Linked DNA regions of Arabidopsis thaliana. The protein of the gene in region 1 binds, or shares a complex with, the protein of each later gene. Each region holds a gene or a part of one and is shown in the gene's direction. Other genes may lie near its edges.

Evidence for each region.
Region 2: AT4G01310 (region 1) and AT5G65220 share a complex: the UniProt entries of both Arabidopsis thaliana proteins name them as parts of the 50S ribosomal subunit.
Region 3: AT4G01310 (region 1) and PRPL28 share a complex: the UniProt entries of both Arabidopsis thaliana proteins name them as parts of the 50S ribosomal subunit.
Region 4: AT4G01310 (region 1) and RPL24 share a complex: the UniProt entries of both Arabidopsis thaliana proteins name them as parts of the 50S ribosomal subunit.

The regions. Positions count from the first base shown.
Region 1 is NC_003075.7:542,809-547,815, reverse strand, and holds AT4G01310 (Ribosomal L5P family protein), read left to right. Parts: upstream 1-2,249; 5' UTR 2,250-2,335; coding exon 2,336-2,581; intron 2,582-2,869; coding exon 2,870-3,070; intron 3,071-3,155; coding exon 3,156-3,298; intron 3,299-3,451; coding exon 3,452-3,650; 3' UTR 3,651-3,905; downstream 3,906-5,007. Other genes in the region: ATSTE24 (Peptidase family M48 family protein), read right to left, coding at 82-195, 341-439, 526-591, 688-783, 870-954, 1,038-1,185, 1,881-1,911; AT4G01290 (chorismate synthase), read left to right, coding at 4,534-4,604, 4,692-4,799, 4,913-5,007. UniProt on the Arabidopsis thaliana protein: Binds 5S rRNA, forms part of the central protuberance of the 50S subunit.
Region 2 is NC_003076.8:26,058,492-26,063,418, forward strand, and holds AT5G65220 (Ribosomal L29 family protein), read left to right. Parts: upstream 1-2,673; 5' UTR 2,674-2,809; coding exon 2,810-3,148; intron 3,149-3,832; coding exon 3,833-4,015; 3' UTR 4,016-4,191; downstream 4,192-4,927. Other genes in the region: TGA1 (bZIP transcription factor family protein), read left to right, coding at 540-710, 823-903, 988-1,047, 1,132-1,209, 1,298-1,361, 1,444-1,715, 1,804-2,031, 2,106-2,258; AT5G65225 (uncharacterized protein), read left to right, coding at 4,439-4,443.
Region 3 is NC_003071.7:14,171,484-14,175,639, forward strand, and holds PRPL28 (Ribosomal L28 family), read left to right. Parts: upstream 1-2,095; 5' UTR 2,096-2,136; coding exon 2,137-2,335; intron 2,336-2,660; exon of another isoform or gene 2,661-2,664; coding exon 2,665-2,897; 3' UTR 2,898-3,106; downstream 3,107-4,156. Other genes in the region: AT2G33435 (RNA-binding (RRM/RBD/RNP motifs) family protein), read left to right, coding at 97-138, 252-341, 563-673, 793-882, 976-1,055, 1,149-1,743; RIC1 (ROP-interactive CRIB motif-containing protein 1), read right to left, coding at 3,107-3,543, 3,646-3,724, 3,814-3,914, 4,021-4,078.
Region 4 is NC_003076.8:22,180,824-22,185,629, forward strand, and holds RPL24 (Translation protein SH3-like family protein), read left to right. Parts: upstream 1-2,019; 5' UTR 2,020-2,222; coding exon 2,223-2,336; intron 2,337-2,836; coding exon 2,837-2,875; intron 2,876-3,048; coding exon 3,049-3,279; intron 3,280-3,367; coding exon 3,368-3,580; 3' UTR 3,581-3,787; downstream 3,788-4,806. Other genes in the region: CRLK1 (Protein kinase superfamily protein), read left to right, coding at 199-352, 582-708, 890-975, 1,062-1,133, 1,215-1,418, 1,513-1,875; ANK (ankyrin), read right to left, coding at 3,958-4,647. UniProt on the Arabidopsis thaliana protein: One of two assembly initiator proteins, it binds directly to the 5'-end of the 23S rRNA, where it nucleates assembly of the 50S subunit. Required for optimal plastid performance in terms of photosynthesis and growth.

The DNA.
Region 1 (5,007 bases):
AAAGCGGGAGATTATATTGTCTGGTAACAACATATGCAAACAAGCAGTGAATTGTAAAATGGCCATGACAGAAATACACACAGGAGTGAACTTGTTGAAGAGCGGTGCTATCAAGACCGGGTATATAGTCATCATCACTAGAGACAGGATAAACATGAATGCCCACAGATAGATGGCAAGATAAGGACCTCCTTTCTGGAAAAAGATAGAAACTTCATGCTCAGAGAAGCAAATTTTAAATTTTTAACACGAAAACTAAAAACTTTGAAGCTCACACTCAATGGAGAATAGTCATCCATGTGAAAAACTCAGAAATAAGATGAATCCAGAATCATCAAACCTGGACTATGAAAATTATCGCAGCAACAATGGGTGGGCCTAGTATGACAGAGAGGAATGTTCCTTTGATCATGTCCCTAATGAACATCCATATTGTTTGCTGTCAACAGAATTTAGAAGCAAATTTAATCCACATCTCTGATAAAAAAACGTAAGTCACAAGGTAGTGTTGGAAATACGACATACTTTGTTGAACCCATGCCGAGACTCGATCACGAAAGTTGAGTACAAAGAAAATGGCAAATCAGTGATCTGCATCAGAATATAAAAGAAATATTATTATCTTAAGAAAATAGATATTTTGATGCTAAACGTATAGGACTATATGAAGGGGTTTATTTGGAACACCTGTGACCATGTCATAACACCAGCCAAGAATGAAAGAGTATGCAGTATTTCATTCTCTGGATCAAGGCCCAACCTCGGTAAAACAGCTCCAGACATCTAAGGTAAAAATGAAAACTTTACAATTGTAATGTAACAACTCTATATTCAAAATGAGATACTGTATACCGAAACCAGATATGTACCTTCCAAAACCAAGGCAAGATCCCAAAGAACAAAATTGCAGAGTCCATAAGTATAGTTACAAACTCATGAACAAAGTGAAAATAGCTGCATATATTAAAGTTCTCAGTGATGATATCCCCTGGCAATTATAAAAAACTAAAATGATATAAATATGATCAAGACGAAACCTTTTGTCAAGACTGTATGCTCGTGATTTCTCAAACTTCTCTTGGCTAATTACACCAACCAAGGTTTTCGGGAGAGTTGGAAGCTTGAGAGCAGTGAGTTGCCTCAGATCCAAATACGTCTCAAAAATGTACATCACTATCATAAAACCTGTAAGAAAAAGAATAAAACAGAAGATGAAATACGAATCTACTCTAAATGCCACAACAACAGATACTCCATCACTGAAAATTCAATAACATCATCTACTTTTTTGATCAACCAGATATAAAAAGATCTCTTGTGCTGACTACTGATGGAAACATTGGAGCACTGAAAGAGTTTTGATGCAACATTCACATACGGTTCCACAACACAAAACCCATTTCAAAAAACTCCAGAAAACTCTAGTTGCAGTCACGAACATAATAATACCCTGACAAGAAAACCCAAAACCTCAAGCTGTATGACTTGAACAAAGAAAAATTTCAAGATTCTCAATTTCCAATCGGGAATGAGGAAAAAAAAGACTCCGACTTTTCTTCCCAAATCCTAGATTTTGGTTAACAGAGAAGCTCCGTACATTCTAAAACCGAGGAAGAGATGATGAAATCACATAAGCTCAAATCAAATCAAACGCACGAGTAAGACAAGAAACTAGTAGGAGTAATAAAACCTCAGATCAAGGTACGCACTATTAGAAAAGAACAAAATTTAGAAACGAGAAGCAGAGACGATGGTATATGAAACAAACGAGTCATGGAATCTCAACACACACAACACAGAAAGCAAAACCCAAACAAAAACGAAATACGATGAGTGAAACAGGATAGTAAAATGTCTCAGAAAAAGGTTTTGAAGCTTACCCACGACGGTTTCCATGAAAGGAATCGCCATGGCTGAGAAAAGAGTGACCTGAACCGCGATGAAAGCAGAAGCAAATCGAAGAAAGCAGAAGCAAATCGAAGAAAGCAGAGGAACGACAAAAGAGAGGTTTTTCGTTTTTGACTCTTCTCAGGTCGGTGTGGATATGTAAAACAACAAAAACACGGGTACGGGTTATACCTTAGAAGCCCAAATAGTAAACGGGCTGAGATTTAGGCCCATATGAAACAACCCCTATATTTTATCTAAAATCTCTAAGTATAATAGTATATTATCAAATATTGGGGCCTTAGTTGAAATATTATGTTTTAAAGGGGCTAAACGGAAAACTCCTTATCCTCAAACTGTCAACAAATTACGAAGGTGCCATTGGGTTTAATCAACAACGAACGCCGAGAGCTCTCACTTCACACTTTATCCACTTGGAGCTTCGACAATGGCGTCTCCTTCGCTTCTGCAGTCTTCCGCTTCTTCGTTTCACGGACGTTTCTCACCATTAGCGGCTCCATCCTCCGCACGAATGCTCTCTCCGCCGCTCAGAAACGTGGTGAAAGTCTCGGCGTCTGGAACTGTACTGGTCGAGAAATCTGAAGCCGAGAAAACTCAACGCCTCAAAACCGCTTACCTCGAGAGGATTATCCCTGCGCTCAAAGAAGAGTTCAAGTACGTTAATATTCACCAGGTAACCCCAAATCCTTCCCCTCTGAGCTCAAACCTAGTTTTTGTTCTGTTGCGATTGATTGAAGTCTAATTCTCAGTGAATTCGAATTTTTTGAGCGAATGTTAAACCTAATTTGCTTTTAATGATAAGTTTGAATTGATTTCTTCTAGAAAATGTAGTGAAGAAGCCTAGATTTAAGATTGTTGTGTTGATAAAATCGTGCTGTTGGGATGTGCCATTTACAAATGTGAATGTGAATTTGTCAATCTCATCATTGTTGTATATCTGCTTGGACATCTTCTCTACCAGGTTCCAAAGGTACAGAAGATTGTAGTGAATTGTGGTATTGGAGATGCGGCGCAGAACGACAAGGGTTTGGAGGCTGCGATGAAGGATATCGCGCTTATCACAGGGCAGAAACCTATTAAGACACGAGCTAGAGCTTCCATTGCTACTTTCAAGATCAGGGAAGATCAACCTCTTGGGATTGCTGTCACTCTCAGAGGAGATGTGAGCTATATTTCTCTTGACTAATCAAACTTTCCTTTTGAGTTATTTATGTATTAACATTTTGTGATTTTGACTGTTGTGACAGGTAATGTACTCCTTCTTGGATCGTCTTATCAACTTAGCCCTTCCGAGAACTCGAGATTTCCAAGGTGTGAGTCCCAGTAGCTTTGATGGGAACGGAAACTACAGTATTGGTGTGAAAGACCAAGGTGTATTCCCTGAAATCAGGTTAGTTCTATTGTATCTACCCTCAAAATCAAAACTACTAACTTGTTATCCGCTGGTTCAACAAGATCAAGCATGGTTTCTCTTTAGTCCCACTCTTTGTTTACAACCGAGCAACTAAACTCTATGTTGGTTGGTTGGTTTATTACACTCTAGGTTTGATGCCGTTGGAAAAACGAGAGGAATGGATGTATGCATCAGCACAACGGCTAAAAGCGATCAAGAAGGACAGAAACTATTGGCTCTAATGGGAATGCCTTTCAGGGAAGGAGGTGGTGGCAGCACAGGCGCGATAGTGCGGAAGAAGAAACTAAAGTCTCATCACTTTGATGCTAAAGGAAAAGGAAAGAGATGATGAACATAGCTGCCTATTGTATGTATCGTCTTCTGTAACCAACCATTTCATGTTTCAGAAAAACCATCTCCTTTTGTAATGCTTTATGAGTCAATTTGAAAATAATATCAGGGATCTTGTTGTTATGGTAAAAATTTATCAAGGTTTTTCTGTAATTTATTGAAAGTTTTGTGGATTATACAAAATGTAGCGCGTGAGTGAACGTGAAAAGCTAGCGCGTGGATTTGTCAATTTTACCTTCCCCTTTGAGAGAAATCGCTCTTCTTTGTAAGACTTGGTTTCGATCTTCTCTTTTTCATCATCAATCGATCAAAACAAACAGCAACAGCAAAATTATCTTTCTGCAGATCGAAACCCTAATTGGTTTCTCCGTTCTCCTTTTGTTCTTCTAGAATCGGCGACTCTTACTTTTTTTTCTTTCTAATTATCCTTTTCTGATGGATTCTGGAATCCATGTAATTCCCCATTAGCGCTAAAAACCCTAGCTGTCGAAGACCTTAGATTACTGCAGAAATGTTATAATCTGTTTTCATCTTTTCCCGATTTGAGGTTTTTATTTATTTTGGTTGGGTGAGAGAATCCGATACGAGAGATTAAAGCCTTGTGAGTTTAGGATGAGCTAGTTTTCTTTGGCTTTGAGCTGTAATTTCTCTTCTCTGAAATCTTTCACTGTACATATAGCTAGATCCTGATGAAGTTGCGTGGTGGTGAATCGTGGTTTAAGTTTTGCTAGTTGAGATATTATTGGTGGTTACTGTAATATCGAAGAATCATATTTCACGGTATTTACTATAGACAACTACTGTAGAGTTACTTGATTAAGGCGTTAAGAAGAGATACTGGTGTTTTTTGGCCTCAATCAGCTAAGATTTTTGTGCATTGTATGATGAGTATAGCAAATGAACAACAATTTGCCATGGATCAACTTGTCGAAACCAATGATGATTCGGAAAAGTATGTTTTTTCTGTTTTTTGTAAAATCCATGTCTCTGTTTTGCTGCTTATTGTACATTTCTCAGCTGCAGTTGCAATTGTTTTCAGGAAACCAAGAATTACATACACGAGGAAGTTTCTTATATCCTTGAGCGAGAAAGACGTTTGCAAGAAGCTGCCAAATCTGCCTGGTGAATTTGATGAAGCACTGTTGCTGTGAGACTCTATCCGATAGTTTTTTTTTTAGTTTGGATTTCTAGAAACTGTGTAAATGTGTTTGATCATGTTGGAGTGACATGTCTTGATTTGTACACTCTTTATTTGAGTAGTGACTTCGAAGATCCTTCACCCGAGCGAGCAAGAATTTCAGGCGATTTTTCGTCGCATGGTTTCAGGCGGAATGACTATAGTTCATCGCCTCCCA
Region 2 (4,927 bases), on another chromosome or scaffold:
ATGGAGCTTTTCGTCTGCTTAACATTAATTTTTATCATCTTATCTATTTGACACCTTCCAAACACTATTGGGGAAATGGCTTCTTCTCTTTTTTCCGGTGTAGGTTTAAGGTTTTAGATTTGAAGGCGGATGGTGAGGAGTTTGTGTTGATGAAATGGGTGATTTGAAGTTAAATCCTTTAAGTTCTTTTAGCCTTAAGTTCTTTTAGCCTGTCATTACAATATATGTTTCAGTTGTGATCTTTTGGTGCTCTCCAAGGTCTTAGGGAATCTCCGTGTCCCCTCTGGTTTCTTTCTTTGTATAAAGTCTCTGGAATTTAAAGATGATTTTGTCCTGTTTTCTTCGAAGAATTTGGCGAAGAAACATCAAAAGTTCACTATTTGCTTTACGTGTTATGCTTGTTTGACTTTGTGTGATCTAACTTTTGGTTGAAAACTAATGCTCATCTTTTGTTCTTTGGAATGTCTTGATCTGCTTGATTTTGAATGCTTTGTCACATTGTTTAAACAATTTGTTCTTTGTTTTCAGTTGAGGAAAACATGAATTCGACATCGACACATTTTGTGCCACCGAGAAGAGTTGGTATATACGAACCTGTCCATCAATTCGGTATGTGGGGGGAGAGTTTCAAAAGCAATATTAGCAATGGGACTATGAACACACCAAACCACATAATAATACCGAATAATCAGAAACTAGACAACAACGTGGTACTTTTTTACTTCATTGCTCTTCAACCTCCTGATGATAAATTTGTTTGGTCTGTTTTCAGAAATTTAAACTAGCTTTCATTTCTTGACAATCTTTTTTTTTTTTTTATAGTCAGAGGATACTTCCCATGGAACAGCAGGAACTCCTCACATGTTCGATCAAGAAGCTTCAACGTCTAGACATCCCGATAAGGTTAGCTATTCAAATACTTCTCTATCAGTTTCTTAATCATAAATTTCTACGCATCATATAGACTAAATCGTTATATCGTTACAGATACAAAGACGGCTTGCTCAAAACCGCGAGGCTGCTAGGAAAAGTCGCTTGCGCAAGAAGGTATGACTTCATTTTCTTCCCCTTGGTAAACTGTTTCTGTTTGCCTAATGAGTTGAGAGATTTGATTGTTTTTTTTTTTTGCAGGCTTATGTTCAGCAACTGGAAACAAGCAGGTTGAAGCTAATTCAATTAGAGCAAGAACTCGATCGTGCTAGACAACAGGTTAATGAAATGAAATCTAAATATATATTCGCTTTCTTTCGAGTTCCAAAATATAATGCAATTTCTGATTGAATATGAATGTTTTCAGGGATTCTATGTAGGAAACGGAATAGATACTAATTCTCTCGGTTTTTCGGAAACCATGAATCCAGGTTTTGAATCAAGAACAATGAGTCTTTTGGAAAAAATATAGAATTCAAGATTTTGATTGGTGGAAGCTTATTTGATTTGCAGGGATTGCTGCATTTGAAATGGAATATGGACATTGGGTTGAAGAACAGAACAGACAGATATGTGAACTAAGAACAGTTTTACACGGACACATTAACGATATCGAGCTTCGTTCGCTAGTCGAAAACGCCATGAAACATTACTTTGAGCTTTTCCGGATGAAATCGTCTGCTGCCAAAGCCGATGTCTTCTTCGTCATGTCAGGGATGTGGAGAACTTCAGCAGAACGATTCTTCTTATGGATTGGCGGATTTCGACCCTCCGATCTTCTCAAGGTATAAAACAAATAACAATCTAGCGTAATGTTTAATGAATAGAAGGAAACAAGCAAGATTACAATGTTTCAAATGTTTTTTTTTGTAGGTTCTTTTGCCACATTTTGATGTCTTGACGGATCAACAACTTCTAGATGTATGCAATCTAAAACAATCGTGTCAGCAAGCAGAAGACGCGTTGACTCAAGGTATGGAGAAGCTGCAACACACCCTTGCGGACTGCGTTGCAGCGGGACAACTCGGTGAAGGAAGTTACATTCCTCAGGTGAATTCTGCTATGGATAGATTAGAAGCTTTGGTCAGTTTCGTAAATCAGGTAAAATATATATATTCAAACTCATTTGAAAATACTATAGTATCAGTTTCTTGATTTTGTTTGTTCATTCTTAGGCTGATCACTTGAGACATGAAACATTGCAACAAATGTATCGGATATTGACAACGCGACAAGCGGCTCGAGGATTATTAGCTCTTGGTGAGTATTTTCAACGGCTTAGAGCCTTGAGCTCAAGTTGGGCAACTCGACATCGTGAACCAACGTAGGTTTGAGTTATTTTGTAACAACCAAATGAAGAAAATGGAAAGACCTCAAAAAATGAAGAATGAGTGCATCTGAAAACAGAGGACTACTCTGAATAAATAGAGGGGTTGCTGCTGATATTTATTTTTACTCTGCGGCGGAATTAGAAAATTTGAAAAACATCATGTATTGATAAGTTGTAAATATCAGAAAAAGGTGGGGGTGCAAAAATTTGTACTTTTTAGCTTTTGAAAGAGGCAAGTTTTTCGAATGTTTGTTTGATTTGTAAACAATTTCAGAATTATATAAACTTGGTTCCAAATCCCCTGTAATAATGTCGAGCTATCTGCAATTTGAAAACTATAGGGGCTTTACTTAATTTTACGTTTTGTGTGACACCTATTTGATTTTTTTTGATACGTTTGGACCAGTTTCGTAATTAGAGGTAAATAAAGGGGCAAATAGTAAGATATAAGAAAAGCCTTATCTCATAGAGTTTCTTCTCTTCATTATCCTCAAAATCGCTCGAGAGTGAGAACTCTGCTCTTCTTCTTCTTCCTCCGCCATAGCTACAATGCTTAGTCTCTCAATCGCTACGCCGGGGACGGCGGCGATTTTTCGTAGAGGAACTGCTTCGGCGACTTCAACTTCGTCTTCATTCCATGGTGTCAGAATCCAGCACCAGGTTTCTGCTCGCGTCCCCGCGGCGGCGACGATATCGTCGTCGTCTCCTAAACCGTCGGTGGTGATGATGTCGAAAAGAGAGGCGGAATTGAAAGAGATAAGATCGAAGACGACGGAGCAGTTACAAGAGGAGGTTGTTGACCTTAAAGGTGAGCTCTTTATGCTTCGTCTCCAGAAATCGGCAAGGAATGAGTTCAAATCTAGCGACTTTCGTCGTATGAAGAAACAAGTAAGCTTTTTTCTTACTCTTTAATGCAGAATTATTCCAAATTGTGAAATCTACTTTGTGTTATCTGGTCGATTTTGGCAGTCTTTGAAAGGGTTTAACAAAATTGGGATATGTGGTTTATTGATGGAAACATTGAAATCATCACCATGGAAAATAGGATTATTTAATATGAAGTTGTAGAAGATGTTAGCGAACTCTATAAGCAATGTTTTGTGTTGTTTGTTCTACACATTATAGTTGATTCTAAACTCTAACAATGGCAACATTGTAAGTTACTGTTTTGTGATATCTAATACTGTTTTTGGTAGGTGGTGGAATGGAATTAGAGATTTAATATTGAGTTCAATCCATCCCCTTTTATAGATTCTTGCACACAAGCTTCGAATATGTTCTTAGGATACTACGGTTTCAGTTAGACATGAATGTTGAGCTTTGCGATATCGTTTGTTTAGTCTTTTAAGTGTGCCAATGCACCAAACTAGCTTTAGATGAGAATTTACTTGCTTTGGTTTTACTGATTGCTGGGATTTCAATCAGACATGAATCTTGAGCTCTAAGTGACTAATCCACCCAACTTAGCTGGAGATGACACTAAATTCAAGTAGAGATTTCTTGGTTTTTTTGGCTTACGTCCGTCTCTTTTCTGGTACTGAAGATGTGATCTTTTGGTTGTGGGTGATTTAGGTTGCTCGGATGTTGACGGTTAAAAGAGAGAGGGAGATCAAAGAAGGGATAAAGAAAAGGTTGTCGAGGAAACTTGACAGACAATGGAAGAAAAGCATAGTACCAAGACCACCTCCGTCTCTGAAGAAACTTCAAGAAGAAGAAGCTGCAGAAGAAGCAGCTGAAGCTGCTAAATCTGCTTGAAAAAACCCGCTATTGATTTATGGTCTCTTCCTTGTTGTTTCCTCGAGATGTTGTTAATCTCTGTTATTTGTTGCTGAACCATCTTGTATTTGTTTTTCTTTTGGTGTAAACACTTTCCTTATCAAGTAGTTTACATGAATCCCTTAAAGATTGAAATCGTTCCTTCATGTTTCATCAGAATTATCATCCAATCTGACAAAGAAACTAGTAATCATTCGAAGTTCGAAAAACATCAAATAAGAATAAAGATAAATAAATAAAAGGAAAAATCCAAAACATTGGCGGGAAAATTAGGAATTTATTGAGGAATCAATGGTGGGCTTAGAAATAGAATGGTGCGTTAAAGTTTCTGTCTTTGTGTGCGTAGATGAGGTATTCGGTGGTAGATTCCGGCTGGGTTTGGATTTTTTTTCCGGCGAGTCTATGAGGTAAAGTGATATTTCTTACAGATTTTAAGGATTCAACTAATACGATTATGTTTCCGATGATGTTTCTTGTTTGGGCATGAAACCCTAGATTTCAGCGATTCACTTTCAAAATAAAATCCGTTTATGCAATCGAATGTAGTAGAAAAATCTCATCTTGGTAAATCTCATTGAGACTTCATTGTTAGTTTTTTTTGTTAGTCAACCAACAATGGGTTTGGTTTTTGTTTTACTATTTTTGTCCTTTTCTTATTAGTATATTGAAGATCTGGCCAATAATTTTTCTGACTCAGTGGTGTTGAAATCTTCTTTCAGAAGTGGGGACTAGTGATAAAATAATCTCAAATTAGTAGTTTCTTCTCTTTGTTTTTTCTTTTCTTAAAAGTTTGAATACGACTGATATAAACATAGTTCAATAAGAAGTCATGTTTCGTTTACTAGTAGTTTGCTATCGAGGCTGCTATATATGAGTTCTTGACAGGTATGT
Region 3 (4,156 bases), on another chromosome or scaffold:
TGTGGTTGATAATGTTGAAAGCTTCACTGTATTTGCTTGCTATACTAATTTCTTTTTCTGTCAAGCTTGATATTGAGCCTAGTGTACTTGTTGCAGATCTTCATTGGCGGATTTTCAAAAGCTATTTCATCTGAAATGGTATGCTGAACTGTAATTCTTTGAAAACATTTGACACGTTCAATCTTCTATTGTCCCCATTTCTATCGTTTCAACTTCTAGGATTGTCTGATTCCTCTTTAACGTTTTTCCAGCTTATGGAGATTGTCAGCGTCTTTGGACCTTTGAAAGCATACCGGTTCGTGAGCAACAATGATCTCAATCAGCGATGCGCTTTCCTAGAGGTTAGAATGTACTTTTATTTGTGGCCAAGATACCCCCATCTTAGTCTGCCATCTCGATGTAGTTCTTGTGATTGTTTCATATCTTTAATTTTTCATTTTCCGGGTAGCATGGGAAGGTGTTATTACCTTGTAACTTTTACAGAGTAACCATGAATGTGACTGTAGTTCCAAGTATATTCATATTAACCAGCCCTAACTCTTTTTAAATCTCTATATTTCAGTACACTGATGGATCTGTTACCCTCAAAGCTTGTGCTGGTCTAAATGGTATGAGGTTAGGTGGCAGTGTAATAACAGCCGTTTGTGCATTTCCTGATGCATCATCCGTAGCGGTAATTCAGTGACCCAACTTTGCTTTCGTTAGTTCATGTTGTGTTTGTATGGGTGACATTGAACAGAAATTCCTTTAGTTACTTGTGAGAGTGGTGTGTGTACGTAATATGTGTTGCAGGTGAATGAGAATCCACCATTCTATGGGATACCTAGCCATGCAAAACCACTTCTTGGCAAGCCTAAGAATATTCTAAAGCTAAAAAATGTGGTAAGCATAATTGGTGTATCCTTTTTCTTGTGAATCTTTCCCAAATAAACTATGTGAGGCTATATTAACATTCCATTCTTTCTTGTTTGACAGGTTGACCCAGAAGATCTCACGTCGTTTTCCGAGCAAGAAGTGAAAGAAATTTTGGAGGATGTACGGTTAGAATGTGCCAGGTTAAGCTCTGAGATCATCTTCCCATGAGTCCATTGAGCTTTTAAAAGCTAGTAAATTAAGAAAATAGGCCTCTGGGTCTTGTCATGATGCAGGTTTGGGGTTATTAAGTCGATAAACATCTTGGAACACAAGAGCAAAGATATCACTGTTTCTGAAACAAATCCATTGTTGAACTTAGAATCAACTGATTCTAAAGAAATGAATGTGTCAGTGATCGAGGAGAAAGATGAAGGATCCGAGAAAGCGGAAGATATTGCAGACAATGTAGATCTTGCAGAGGTTGTCATGCCAGACAGTTTGACAGGTGAAGACAAGTTATGTGAACCGTGCTCGGATACTGCTGCTGAAACAAGCACTCAAGAAAATGAAGATCTACACTCCACTGAACAAGAGCATTGTGAAAAGATTGTTGAAGAAAGTGCGCAGGCCGAGGCAGAGAATCCACAAGAAGTAGCATCAGTGCGTACCGTGAAGACAAGATGGGATGCTGGCGACAAGATAGAAGAAGAACAAGAAGAAGACCCCGAGGATGTATTTGAGACGGGTTGTATCTTCATTGAGTACAGAAGACCAGAAGCGACATGTGATGCAGCCCATTCTTTACACGGAAGGCTATATGATAACCGGATTGTGAAAGCAGAATATGTTTCTAAAGAGCTTTACCAAATCCGGTTCCCAAGTGGGTAAATAATCCCACAACAAGTGAGACTCTGTGATTCTTCTCATCTTTACCACATAACCGGTTCAAACCGAGTTCAGAGATACATAGCATCTACAATCAAAAACCCTTCAAAAATCTCTTTGTAATCGTTGGGATTGATCAGGTTGGATTATTCATCACCACCTGTGTCTCGTTACTTTTATGTATTAGAGAATCCAAGAAGGGAAAGATGAAACCATACTATTGTGTTGGTGGCTATATGGACCGGTTTGCTTACTGAAAAATTGTTGTGTTAAAAGAGAACGTAACCTTCTGAATGAGAAAGCGTCTTTCATTTTCTACAAAATAATAAATAAAATGAACCCAATCTCCTTCTTTATCCAAATCCTCCTTCGAAGCAGAAGTAACAGCAACCAAAAATGACGACAATGGCGACACAAGGCGCTTGGCTACGAATGACCTCATCAGCCAAGTCCATGACCAAGTCAACCGTGACTTCAAAGGAGCTTGGATTCCTCACCTCCCAGCTCAGCGGCTTAAGAATCTCATATACTCCCAGTGACGTCATCAACCGTATCTCCCTTCCTTCGTTCCCCGGGATTCAGCCAATCGTCGCACGTAATTCCCCTTTTCCCTTTCTCTTAGGGTTTAGTCGAATGCATTGGCGTACTAAATTTATCTTGCTTTCGTTTTATTCATGTCGAATTTCGAATCTCTGAGTTAGCAAGCTTGTGTTGAATTGTCTGGAACTATGTCTTTGCTTTTAGATATGAAAATGAGCAGTGTATTTAAAACCCGTAGCATAATTTCTCGTATTAAACTTTTCCTTTGAATTTGATGTTATGTTAAAAAAATTCTCCAAAATTGACCACATTTATATGATTCTGAGCATTGGGCAATTTGCTCCTTTTTTCTTGAAACTGTGTTTTTGTTTTCCAAAATGTCAGGTAGAATCTGCCCTTTTACTGGGAAGAAAGCAAACAGAGCAAACAAAGTTTCATTCTCTAACCACAAGACCAAGAAGTTGCAATTCGTCAACTTACAATACAAGAGAGTTTGGTGGGAAGCTGGCAAACGTTTTGTCAAACTTCGTTTATCAACTAAGGCTTTGAAGACCATTGAGAAGAACGGACTCGACGCTGTTGCCAAGAAAGCCGGCATTGATCTTCGCAAGAAATAGATATGATGATCGCAAAGTTTATTATATACATTTCTTGCTTCTCCTTTTGCAGTACTCGTACATTTCCTTTCTAGATTTTGGTAAGTATCAATGGAATCTCTGAGTTGTTGTATCAGACACTGTCAAGAAAAGACTTTAAAGAGAAACGAAAACAAACTCTCACTTGCAGGTGGCTCAAATAATACATTTCATGGTTTTGTTTATGTTTCTCAGATAATATCGTTACAGGTTGTATCAACTGAATTCTCGGGTTTTCCTTTTGAAGACTTCTTAATCGAACCTTCTCCTCCTGCTGATGATCCTTTTAGTTTCCTAGGACGCGATGTAGCCTTCCGTGGAGGAGCTGAACCATCAGGTATTTGATTAGGAACTTCTGTGTCTGGAGCCGGGATACCACCACGCCTTCTGCGAACTGATGGTTCTTGATCATTCGATGAGTCTGTTGACCCGTGTGCGCTTCGGTTATGTCTTGAATGCTTTGATGGTTCATCTGATGATGCAGCATTTCCGCTACTTTTTCTAGGCGGAGACCCGTTATGATTTGGAGAAGCTGCTCCTCCGGGTTTCCGCCTTGTTTTCTGTTTCGGTTTCTCGTTTGTGTTCGAAGGCAGTAACTCTTTTAGCCCGGCTCCACGTTGGTTCGTCCCTATTGAGATACACATCAATTCCTCGAACCAATCCAGATTTGTTCCTCAAAGCTTAACACTTTAAGGGAAAAGGAAAAACACACTTTGCAAAAATAACTAACCTTGCGGGTTGTATTTGTTGGAATTTCCCCTGGAAACGACTTGACCTTTCTCATGTTCTTGAGTTTTAAAGTCATTCATCTGCAGTTTTTGTCCCATAAAAAAACAATAATGAGCACAGATACGTGTGACATGTATGAAAATACGTATAAATGTACGTATGATCTTACCCAGCTTGGTGTGGTGTTGGTTGGACCGTCGGAGCCAATGTGGGCAACATGCTTTACATCGGTCGGAAATCCTATCTGCATCTCCTGCTCTTTCTCTTCATCTGCAATAGAATAATTACATCCACCATGTAATTTGACTTTTGACACAAGAAACACAAATGATTTTTCATTTTTTTCATGTTTATGGGGAAAATGAATGAGACTCACCAAAAATCTGAGTAATGTAACGAAGGCCCTTAAGAAGACCCTTCATTGTCGTCGCCATTGGTCTATAAAGGGTTGGTTCCGGCTAATGTGTATCCACACGCCGGATACAACCTTTGTGGTTCAAGATTTGACGATC
Region 4 (4,806 bases), on another chromosome or scaffold:
GTTTCCTGATTAGGTTATTATTTTATTGTCTTAACTATACTCAGGACTAGACTTCTCTTGTTATAGTAGTTACTTTGGTTATTATTTCAAAGTTTGAAAGTTCATTAAAAAGGGGAATGCTGTTGTGGATATGAGAAGGTCTTGCATTCTTGGGGTTATATTCCGTTTTTGACATATGGTCTTTGGTGATTGCTTCAGGGATTTGCAGAAAGCGACGTGTAATTTCACGACTTTGATAGGCCAAGGAGCATTTGGACCTGTCTACAAAGCTCAAATGTCTACTGGTGAGATCGTGGCTGTGAAAGTTCTAGCCACTGATTCTAAACAGGGCGAAAAAGAGTTTCAGACAGAGGTAAGATATATCTATGGATTCATTTCCGAAGAACAAGTTAGTGTGTAAAACATGTAGCATTAGGCAGACTTTTAAGCATTACAATAGGCTTTCTGAAATCTCTAATACTCAATTTATTAGTTGTGTCATCTATAAGACAGGCTACATGAATGAACAATCTATATATCTTACTCTCTTAGTATCTGCTTAGTTTCTTGAAAAACTCATCCACTCGCCTTAATCTTTTCAGGTTATGTTATTGGGAAGGTTGCATCACCGTAACCTAGTGAACTTGATTGGATACTGTGCAGAGAAAGGCCAACACATGCTTATATATGTTTACATGAGTAAAGGAAGCTTAGCTTCTCATTTATACAGTAAGTAACTACCTGGTTATACATACCATATTAATCTGCTTGTCACTAAATGAACTGTTAATGCAATGTTGAGCTATTCGGTATCTTTGTAGAACATTTATTGAGTTGATGGTTTAGACTTCACTAAATGATGAGCCTTGGTAAAGATTTGAGATGCACTAAAATGGTACTTTTGATACAGGCGAAAAACATGAACCGCTGAGCTGGGATTTGAGAGTATATATTGCTTTAGACGTGGCACGTGGTCTAGAGTATCTTCATGATGGGGTAAGCTGCTTGCTAAAACCATTCACCATTTTAATGCATCTCTTAAACAACAACTTCAAAACTCATGTTCTAATCAATTGTTCCAGGCTGTTCCTCCTGTAATCCACAGAGATATCAAATCTTCCAACATCTTGCTGGATCAATCTATGAGAGCTCGGGTAAACATATCTTCTTTCTCTTTGAAATCTCAGTCTATTGAACCACCTCAAGTTTCTAATGGTGATCTTCTTTAACTTCAGGTTGCTGACTTTGGCCTCTCCAGAGAAGAAATGGTAGACAAACATGCAGCTAACATCAGAGGAACATTTGGCTACCTCGATCCCGAATACATTTCAACAAGAACATTCACCAAGAAAAGCGATGTCTATGGCTTCGGAGTTTTGCTTTTCGAGCTTATAGCAGGAAGAAATCCTCAACAAGGTCTAATGGAATTGGTTGAGCTGGTAACATAAAACTAAAAAGTCCTCGAAATCTCCAATTGTTTTGTTTGGAGAATTGCATGTAAAGACTAAACGTTTTGTTGTTGTTGATGAACAGGCGGCTATGAATGCAGAGGAAAAAGTCGGATGGGAAGAGATAGTAGATTCAAGATTAGATGGGAGATATGATTTACAAGAAGTGAATGAAGTAGCAGCTTTTGCTTACAAATGCATCTCTCGTGCACCTAGAAAACGTCCTAACATGAGGGACATTGTTCAGGTTTTGACTCGTGTTATTAAAGTGAGACATTGCAGAAAGCGGCAGAAGAATTCTCCGTCGCCGTCTCCACGGCTTCCTCCTCCTCCTCCGATAGTGGAGGAGTCAGAAGGTGAGTTAACTGCAAACGGATCATTACGATCAGAAATTCATCGGAGGGATAATTCCTTGGACAGTAGTATAGCTGAAGACGTGATTTTGTAAACAAAATGAAAAAAAAGTCTCAATTTTTTTAATTATTATTAACTTTTAAAATGTGATTTTGTTTTTCAATTCTTTTGGGTTTTTAGACGCTAGATTGTCTATATTTGTGAATGAAAATTTGTTCTTTGTTTTTTCGTGTTAAAACGAGTTCAAAACTGGAGAACCATATTATATATTTGGGCTATGAAAAGAATTGAATTCAAGGCCCAATTAAAACCTAGCCTAGCCCATTAAGGTTTAGTGATAATACAGTGTCGTTTAATCGTTTATCCAATTTTTATCGTCATCTGTGGAACGGATAGGACGAAGGAAAAAGAAGAAGAGTGAAAGTTGCAGAGCGAGAAAAAATGGCAACCATGTCTGCTCTTCAGAGCTCTTTTACTTCTCTTTCTCTATCTCCCAGCTCTTCCTTCCTCGGCCAGCGTTTAATTTCCCCGATTTCCCTCTCCGTCACTTCTCCGGTAACTTTAATTTTCGATTTCTGGTCAATTCAGGTTTTTAATCATTGTTCAAGCTTTTAGGTTATGTAGTTCACTTGTTTGCGTAATAGATTAGGTTCATGTCTTCGCTTTTCATATCCAAACCCATTTCATCAAGTAACTCTCAAATTGAATCTGTGTTGTTGCTCATTTTAAGTTTGAATTTTGCTTACTGGGATATAAAATTTTGTGCATTGTCTATGTTTAAGTGTAACTACTGAATTGAGATGAAAGTTATGAGGACTTAAAACGTCATCCTTTAGACTGATTGACTAGTTATTGGTTTGGAATCAATGGACTAGTACTTGTAAATGCTATACTTTTTAAACGAACGAAAATGTGCGTGTGATGGCTCACATTGAGTAAAGTGGCTATCTTGTTCATTTGGTTGTGATTTTTTGCATTTTCTTATGAAATGCAAAATAGCTGCAATAGGATATGGTTTCTTTGTTACTCTGCTGATTATTTTATACTCATTGCAGGTCAAGCCCGCTGAGAACCCATGTCTTGTTCTTGCAAAGGTTAGTCCACAGATCCATTACATTAACATTCTGCATTATTCGTTAATATACTAGCTTTGAAACCACAATAATTCTTTAGATTTTGTACACATCAAAAGCAAAAAGGAAAACTGTTGATAGATTCTTTTGAAACAATGAGATTGGAAGATGATTTATGTGTTTTGCGTTTTCAGCTCAAGCGTTGGGAACGAAAAGAATGCAAACCAAACAGTCTTCCGATTCTCCACAAAATGCATGTCAAGTTTGGAGATACAGTCAAAGTAATATCTGGACGCGACAAGGGTAAAATCGGAGAGGTTACTAAGATTTTCACTCACAACAGTACCATTGTGATCAAAGATGTGAACCTCAAAACAAAACACATGAAGAGCCGAGAAGAGGGAGAGCCTGGTCAAATTGTCAAGGTCAGAAATCATAGTTTTGTAGCTTTCCTTTACTTTGCAAGATTGGAGTGATGATTGAAGATTGTGCGAAATGTATTATGCTTTCCAGATAGAAGCACCTATCCACAGCTCAAATGTGATGTTGTATTCAAAAGAAAAAGACGTAGTAAGCCGGGTGGGTCACAAGGTACTTGAAGATGGACAGAAGGTAAGATATCTGATCAAAACAGGGGAACTCATCGACACCATTGAGAAGTGGAAGCTACTTAAGGAGGCTAAGGATAAGGAAACCACCCAAGTTGCAGTTACCTCCGCATCTTAGCGTCTCATTTCTTTCTTCTTCAGTGCACTTTTGATATAATAGACCTATGCATTGGATGGATGTATTGAATCCCTTTTAAGGTAAATTATAATATTTCTGCTCCCCTCATGAACACCTCTTAGCATGATTTAACATATTAATCGAACTAAAGCCGGGTACTCTTGAGTCTTGTCTATATCAATATTGATCGTTATTGACAATGTTAGACCGGCCTATCAAATAAACTGAACCAAAAACTAAACATATTAATGACTCCGCCATAACCTTAAGCACCTACAGTAATTTATTCAAAAGATACAATCTTTAAAATGAGTGCACGTTACAAAGTTAAAGCAAACAAAGTTTCGAGGGAACAAAGTGCAAACGCTTCAAAATGGTTAAACCATGTTCTTGAAGTTGTCAGAAATCAGGTCGCTTTTGGGTTTGCGTACCTTCATCTGCGTACACCGTTTCCACTTTACATATAATACCAGTAGATACACGAGGAATAAGCCCCCTTCATATATGATGAGGAAGAAGAATGAGAGACCATGCATCATGTACATCAAAAGGAAATAAGAGAAGACGAGGGGCACCGTAATAATGAAATACCACCACTCATATGCTCTGCCAACTGGTAAGAGAATAAATGAAAATAGGATAGCTATGGAAAACGCTACCGTATTGCATCCCCATAGTTGGAATTCCGAAAACCTCATACCATTCTTTTTAACTTTATCTAGTTTTTCTTTGTCTAGCAGTTGGGCTGCAGTCTGAAAAGTGGCTGAGATTATCAAAGCTGCTATTACTAGAAGAGCGTTACGTGATCCGTCTGATATGCGACTCCTGTAACGTGCAATTCGCGTCTTGCAATGTTCCTTGAAAGTGACCGGTTCCCTCAGGAAGATATACCATTCCTGAATTCCGGATAGAGAGCCTCCGGTCTTACCACCGGACATTTGTATGATTTCCTCTATTTCTTTGTTCATGTGAGATCCTCTGGCTCGTAAGACATCAAGGGCCGTCATGCCACTTTTGTTCTGGATGTTCCGGTCCAGTGACAGGCATTTTACCAGCTGTTTTACTACCTGAATAATAACATAAATTATTCAAAGAGGATGTGAGTTTAATGATGTTAAGACTTAAGAATGACATAAATGAGTGTTTGGTCTAACAACTTCTTGGTCAATTTAATTTCTGATAGTATGTGGTTATATTGAATTACATATTCACATCCCAAATATACT